Linked DNA regions of Macaca fascicularis. The protein of the gene in region 1 interacts with the protein of each later gene in a biochemical or structural test. Links are inferred from orthologs where the notes say so. Each region holds a gene or a part of one and is shown in the gene's direction. Other genes may lie near its edges. The genes, in order: COPS7A and COPS6.

What was found.
Region 2: the proteins of COPS7A (region 1) and COPS6 form a complex in vitro, tested with the Homo sapiens proteins (3 studies listed by BioGRID, with this or other methods). The link is inferred for Macaca fascicularis from reciprocal best matches to the Homo sapiens genes COPS7A and COPS6.

Annotation. Positions count from the first base shown.
Region 1 is NC_088385.1:7,648,131-7,651,225, forward strand, and holds part of COPS7A (COP9 signalosome complex subunit 7a), read left to right. Parts: intron 1-1,203; coding exon 1,204-1,279; intron 1,280-1,501; coding exon 1,502-1,590; intron 1,591-2,530; coding exon 2,531-2,733; intron 2,734-3,095.
Region 2 is NC_088377.1:48,741,675-48,746,240, forward strand, and holds COPS6 (COP9 signalosome complex subunit 6), read left to right. Parts: upstream 1-1,586; 5' UTR 1,587-1,599; coding exon 1,600-1,669; intron 1,670-1,892; coding exon 1,893-2,018; intron 2,019-2,216; coding exon 2,217-2,348; intron 2,349-2,995; coding exon 2,996-3,084; intron 3,085-3,187; coding exon 3,188-3,250; intron 3,251-3,503; coding exon 3,504-3,551; intron 3,552-3,639; coding exon 3,640-3,754; intron 3,755-3,839; coding exon 3,840-3,932; intron 3,933-4,033; coding exon 4,034-4,134; intron 4,135-4,264; coding exon 4,265-4,405; 3' UTR 4,406-4,524; downstream 4,525-4,566. UniProt on the Homo sapiens protein: Component of the COP9 signalosome complex (CSN), a complex involved in various cellular and developmental processes.

The DNA of each region.
Region 1 (3,095 bases):
TAATTTAAAAAAAAAAAGGGTGGCAGAGGTTGCAGTGAGCCGAGATCGCACCACTGCACTCCAGCCTGGGTGACAGTGCGAGACACCGACTCAGAAAAAGAAAAAGAAGCACTTATTGAGTGGCTGTTTACTGCCCTTTTTATGGTCTGGGAATACAAGAAAAATATCAGAAGAGATAAGATGAATGGATATAAATCTAAATTATTTATTTATTTAGCGAGTATTTCTTCTGAGGCAATTACTGCATAGCTCTGTGGGATACCAGAGACTGGGTCTATAATCTTGTTGAAAGATATTCTTAGGTAGCAACCTTCTGCAAGGATTGATTAAGTGCCAGAATGAAGCTGAGCACAGTGGCTCATGCCTGTAACCCCAGCACTTTGGGAGGCTGAGGCAGGTGGTGGATCACTTGAGGTCAGGAGTTCGAGACCAGCCTGGCCAACATGGCGAAACCCTGTGTCTACTAAAAATACATATATTAGCCCAGTGTGATGGTGCATGCCTGTAATCCCACCTGCTTGGGAGGGTGAGGCAGGAGAATCACTTGAACTCAGGAGGCGGAGGTTTCAGTGAACCAAGATCACACCACTGCATTCCAAACTGGGTGACGGAGGGAGACTCCGTCGCGAAAAAAAAAAAATGCCAGAATGAGTGATCCATGATAGGAGAGGAAATCTGGGTGGACTGGACTGGGCGATGCAAGACAGTGTCCTGGTCAGGTGGGTCTGAAGCAGAGACCACAAATTTAGATGTCTTTCTAGGCTGTGCAGCTGTCAGAGATGAGTGAGGCCGAGGCAGGAATCTGTTGAATTGCGGAGTACTGCACACTGCCCAGACATATTCCAATTTAGAAATATCAAACACTCTGAGGGCCAGACAACACAATTTGCGGTGTCTGGTGCGTGTGTCTGTTCGACTCTGAAAACTGAATGTCTTCAACTCTGAATTTAGGGTAGGAATTGGATGGCGTATGGAGCAAGAGGGCATTGTGGATTGGGAGAATAGTGTAAGCAAAGGCCTGAAGGTGGAAATGCGCCCTTCCTGTGGGAAGCGTGATCAGAGAGGCAGAGAACTGCTTTTGATGAGCCAGGAGAGTTAACATTGGCTGGGAAAGATGGAACAAAAAGTGGAGTTCCACACAGGGTAAGGCTGGGAGGGTGGAGAGGAAGACTTGGGTCACCTCCTTTGTCTTCATTCTTGCAGCTGGCTGAGAGTGACTTTGCCTCCACCTTCCGGCTGCTCACAGTGTTTGCTTATGGGACATACGCTGACTACTTAGGTAACCAGAGGGTGTGGTGCTCTGGAGTAATGGAGATGGGAGAAGGGCAATTTCTGGAGGGACTCAGAAGAAATTCCCAGGATATCCCACTTAGATCCCCTGGGCACGTAGGGTCAGTGTCAAGACCTGAATTGGCATTGAACATGGGAGGGGAGGGAAGGAGGCTAGGGCTTCCCAGAAAACTGATATCAGGATTCCTTACACTTTGTCATTTTTCCCTAGCTGAAGCCCGGAATCTTCCTCCACTAACAGAGGCTCAGAAGAATAAGCTTCGACACCTCTCAGTTGTCACCCTGGCTGCTAAAGTAAAGGTGAGTGGCAGTCCCCCAGTCCTACGGTCTTGAGCATCCTTTTGTATGTCCCTGGGAGTCCACACTAGGACAGCCTTTGTCTGGACCATGGCTGCTTCCTGCCCTCCCCTTGTCCAAGGTCTGTATATAAACTCCATTAGCAACCGTTTAGGCTGATAGTATTCTTAGTTTTCTGTGTTGTTTTTATTTTTTAATCAACCTAAGTTCTAAATAAACATCTTTTGTGTATTTGGTCAAAATAGCAACTAGGATGTTGTTCAGGTGTTGTTCAACAATACCTTCTTCCCTACTGCAGGAAACCAGACTCTCTCTTGATGAAGTGCTAGGCTTCTCTTTGTTAGGATGAGAAATATATATCCCAGAAGTATCTGTATATTCCCATTATTAATGGCTGTTTTTTGTCTAATATCACCATCCACCTCCCCAGCCTGCCCAATCTGCAGCTCGCAATAGTTACTTGACTCTCAGTTGTCCTCGGGATTTAATTTAAACCAGGCTCTCTATTGAGAGACACCTCCAAAGGAATGCCTGTTGCAAGCAGGCAGAGTATAAATGATAAACAGTAACTCCAGACCTCTCCCACTTCCGCTTTCTCCCCTATGTCAAGCTGATCTTGACTGAGGACCGGGTGATACCCTGAACTGTGGCCAAAGGAGTGACACCCAGGCAGATGTCATTTTCTCCCTCTGTGGTGTGGCAGGGGTGAGGGTGTTAGGGGAGCATTTTGTATTTTATTTAAGATTGTGCTTCTAATGATGCTGTTTTTGAAGTGGGAATACTTTTGTTTATTTTGCTTTAGAACCAGCCTCTTAGAGGAAGTGATTTAGGAATGGGAGTGGAGGGCAGGTGTGCTGGGGCAGGGGGAAAAGGAGGGAAGATTTTTGGAAGCCCTTTTCTGTGCGGAACCTCACAAATCCTGACCTGATCTGCGCGGCCCCAGTGTATCCCATATGCAGTGTTGCTGGAGTCTCTTGCCCTGCGTAATGTGCGGCAGCTGGAAGACCTTGTGATTGAGGCTGTGTATGCTGACGTGCTTCGTGGCTCCCTGGACCAGCGCAACCAGCGGCTCGAGGTTGACTACAGCATCGGGCGGGACATCCAGCGCCAGGACCTCAATGCCATTGCCCGAACCCTGCAGGAATGGTGAGAACCGTATCCTGGCACTGTCCCCTTCCTTGTCACCCTGAGAAGGAGAAAGGCGCTTCAGGGTGAGAGAGGGCAAGAGCTGGGCTGGTCTGTAGAGGTGGAACCCAGGAGGATGAAGGGAAATGAATTTATCCCTCCAAAGGCTTCTGGGGAATGCAGGAGTGGGGAGACCTTGGGAGGCGGCAGAAGTCAGCGTCTTTGATACAGCAATTGGGGGAGGGAAAGGGAGTGGTACAACTGAGGGGATCCTAACCAGTAAGGTTGGTCGCCTATCTTAGGCTGGATTCTGTCGATTGGTCTATAACTACCATTGTCCACAGGCCATGGACCTTTTCCTCTTTTTTATTTTCTTTGTGTCC
Region 2 (4,566 bases), on another chromosome or scaffold:
CACCATACCCAGCTAATTTTGTTTTCATTTTTTGTAGAAACAAGGTCTCACCATGTTGCCAAGGCCGGTCTCAAACTCCTGGGTTCAAGTGATCCTCCCACCTTGGCCTCCCAACGTGCTGGGATTACAGGTGTGAGTCACCATGCCTGGCCTTGTGGAGTTATTTTATTTATTTATTTATTTATTTATTTATTTATTTATTTATTTATTTTTGAGACGGAGTCTCACTCTGTCTCGCCCAGGCTGGAGTGCAGTGGTGCGATCTCAGCTCACTGCAGCCTCTCCCTCCCAGGTTCAATCAATTCTTCTGCCTCAGTCTCCCGAGTAGCTGGGACTACAGGCACATGCCACCACGTCCGGCTAATTTTTGTATTTTCAGTAGAGACAGGGTTTCACCATGTTGGCCAGGCTGGTCTCAAACTCCTGACCTCAAGTGATTGGCCAGCCTCGGCCTCCCAAAGTGCTTGGATTACAGGTGTGAGCCACCATGCCTGGCCTTGTGGGGTTATTTTCGAAAGTCCTTGAGACAGTCCCTATATCAGACATGCAAGCATGAGCCCTTCTGCTTGGTGTTCTCATGACTCCAATTTGTTTGGACTTGACAATGTGATTTTTGTCCTGGTATCTGCAACTTTCACAAGATGGAGCAACTCAACACCAGATTCCATCCCAAATTATTCCTTCATTCACTCAAAAAGTATCTAGGCACCAATGTGTTAGGTACCGTGTTGGTCACAGGGGATACCACGATGAACAAGAGAAGGAAACACAGGCTCCTGAATGCGAGAGTGAGGCATGTGGAAAGCAGACACGGAGAGCTGGGTGTGGTGGCTCATGCCTGTAATCCCAGTGCTTTGGGAGGCCAAGGATGGAGGATCGCTTCTGTCAGGGAGTTGGAGACCAGCCTGGACAACCTAGTGAGACTCCTGTCTCTATCAAAATAAAAAAATAATAATAAAATTAGCTGGGTGTGGTGGGGTGCACCTGTAATCCCAGCTACTCGGGAGGCTGAAATGGGAGGATCACTTGAGCCTGAGAGTTTGAGGGTGCAGTCAGCTGATATCAGGCCACTGCACTTCAGCCTGGGCGACAGAGCGAGACCCTGTCTCAAACAAAACAAAACAAACCACCACCACCAGACATGAGGGCCAGTGCAGCTGTAGCCTGAAGATCAAGGGCTAGAAAAGTAGAGGCCAGACCGGGGCCAGATCAGGCAGGGCCTTGCAGGCTGTGGTTAGTTGTCTGGATTTTATTGTGAGGGAAATAACACGACATGTCATTCATTCTGCAACAGCCTTAAGAACTAGGAGTTCTTATCCCAATTTTACAGACGAGGACGATCAATCAAATCGTTAACTAATTTGTCCAAGGTCACCCGCAGGCGACAGGCGGGGACAGGGTCTGGGAAAACCGGCAGGCACCGAGGCCCAGAGGGCGTCGGGCTTCCCCGCACCGAGTGCCGCCCGCCGCGACCCGGGAACTGCCTGCTCCCCGGACGCCAGGCCCGCCGCTTGCCGCGGAGACACAGAACATGCGCTGCTCGCCTTACGGAAGCCGGGAAGGAAGGGGGCGGGGCCGAGGCTGGCGGGCGCGGGGAAAATGGCGGCGGCGGCGGGTGCAGCTACAAACGGGACCGGAGGGAGCAGCGGGATGGAGGTGGATGCAGCAGGTAACGGGCCGTGCGCGGGCGGCTTCCGGAGACCTCCTTCAGGGGTGCGTTGAGGCCTTGCTGTGCTCCCGGGAGAAGGGAGGAGGGCGGAGCAGCAACATCTTTCTCTGGGATAAGTTGCGGGAGGAAAAGTGTGGCCCGGGCTCCGTCGTCCCCCACTGCTATCTTCAGGGAAGAACGTGGGGCCCGGACTCTCACCCTCTCTCTTTCCCTCCACCCTTAGTAGTTCCCAGCGTGATGGCCTCCGGAGTGACTGGGAGTGTTTCCGTCGCTCTCCATCCCCTTGTCATTCTCAACATCTCCGACCACTGGATCCGCATGCGCTCCCAGGAGGGGCGGCCTGTGCAGGGTGAGTGTTGGGCATAGACTCCAGTCTCCTCTCCTTGCTCACCTCCCCCAGACAGTGGTCTTTTCCCCTTCCTTTACTAGATCCAATTCCCCTCCCCCAAATCATCGTTTCCCCAATACTTGGTTCCCACTCATCTCAGACCCTCAGGTCATAGAAGTCTCTTTAACGTTACCTTTTCCATGTCATTCTCTTTCCCAGTGATTGGGGCTTTGATTGGCAAGCAGGAGGGCCGAAATATCGAGGTGATGAACTCCTTTGAGCTGCTGTCCCACACCGTGGAAGAGAAGATTATAATTGACAAGGAATATTATTACACCAAGGAGGAGCAGTGTGAGAGTGGAATAGATGTGGGGAAGAGGAGTGGGAGTTAAAAAAAATGTGCAAGGTGGGGAAGATGGAGAGGGTTGGAAAGAAACCCGAGAGGACGCCAAGAACAGAGGAGAAAAAGTGAAGAGAGTAGCTGGAGAGATCTCAGAAAAAGAACACGTTCAGAGTTCTTTCTCAAAAAGAAAGTAAAGGATGAGAGAAGACAGGATAGAAGGGAGTAATTATTCTAAACTGAGCCAGGATTTGAGAAAGGAGGAGAAGCTGGTGAAAATACACCAGGAGTTTCACATTGAGGAAGGATGGTTTAAAGGACTATGTCAGGCCGGACGCAGTGAATCAGGCCTATAATCCCAGCACTTTGGGAGGCCGAGGCGGGTGGATCATGAGGTCAGGAGTTACAGACCAGCCTGGCAAACATAGTGAAACCCCATCTCTACTGAAAATACAAAAATTAGCCTGGCATGGTGGTGCGTGCCTGAAGTCCCAGCTACTCGGGAGGCTGAGGCAGAATTGCTTGAACCTGGGAGGCAGAGGTTGTGGTGAGCCAAGATCGTGCCACTGCACTCTAGCCTAGGCAACAGAGCAAGACTCAAAAAAAAAAAAAAAAAAAAAAAAAGAATTACTGTGTGTTCTGGCCCTTTCCCCTCCAGTTAAACAGGTGTTCAAGGAGCTGGAGTTTCTGGGTTGGTATACCACAGGGGGGCCACCTGACCCCTCGGACATCCACGTCCATAAGCAGGTATACATGCTCACACCTGTGCATGCTGGGGCAGAGAATGGAGAATGAGGGGAAGGAGAAAGGTGGGGGTCACTGACTTCTGTGCATTGTCCCTCTCTTCCAGGTGTGTGAGATCATTGAGAGCCCCCTCTTTCTGAAGTTGAACCCTATGACCAAGCACACAGATGTGAGTAATACCCCATGCCTACTCTGTCGTGATTGTCACTGTTGCCTTTTACTGTGTGATACTCTTCTATTGGGGAATGCCAGGTGCCACTTACCAGCTGTAACTCTGTCTTAGTCATTTCATCTCCAAACTGTGAAGGGAGGTAATCCCTACTTCACTGGTTTCTTGGGAAGATGAGATGAGAGGAAATGGGTGAAAGCAGCTCGTCCAAATGTTGGCATATAGTGTTCAGGTTTCTCCATCTCCTTCACAGCTTCCTGTCAGCGTTTTTGAGTCTGTCATCGATATAATCAATGGAGAGGTAATACCCTACCCTTGAACCCTCAGATCCTGCTTTTGGCCTCTTTCCTGCTTTTGATTCTCCCTTTGTGGGTTACCTTGCCTTGTAGGCCACAATGCTGTTTGCTGAGCTGACCTACACTCTGGCCACAGAGGAAGCGGAACGCATTGGTGTAGACCACGTAGCCCGAATGACAGCAACAGGCAGTGGAGAGAACTCCACTGGTAATGGAGGGGATTACTTGGAAGTGGGGTTGGAAGGTGTGGCCACATCCCGTCTCAACCTCCTCCTGTCCTCGTCCCTTTGCAGTGGCTGAACACCTGATAGCACAGCACAGCGCCATCAAGATGCTGCACAGCCGCGTCAAGCTCATCTTGGAGTACGTCAAGGCCTCTGAAGCGGGTAGGACAGGGGCTTCCTTGGGCACTTCCCTGGCATTCTTCCTCTCCCTCCTGGGGAAGTGACAGCATCCAAACTAATGCAGCCTCTTTTTGTGCCTTTAGGAGAGGTCCCCTTTAATCATGAGATCCTGCGGGAGGCCTATGCTCTGTGTCACTGCCTCCCGGTGCTCAGCACAGACAAGTTCAAGACAGATTTTTATGATGTGAGTTTAAAACCTGGATGGGGAGGTGGGGCTCATGCTGTCACTTTCACGTGGAGGACCGGGGACTGTTGTTCCCTGGGCATGCCACGAGGGATCCCCTGAGGAATTTGTCCTTTCTGTTCCCTCCCAGCAATGCAACGACGTGGGGCTCATGGCCTACCTCGGCACCATCACGAAAACGTGCAACACCATGAACCAGTTTGTGAACAAGTTCAACGTCCTCTATGATCGACAAGGCATCGGCAGGCGAATGCGCGGGCTCTTCTTCTGAGGAGGGTACTTGAAGGGCTGATGGACAGGGGTCAGGCAACTGTCCCAAAGGGGAGGGCGCTACACTTGAGAGAAACCGCTGTCATTAATAATAAAGGGGAGCAGCCCCCGAGCACCCCTGCTGGTGGCTCTGTCCTCTCTGTTAGGCACCACACTGGTTTG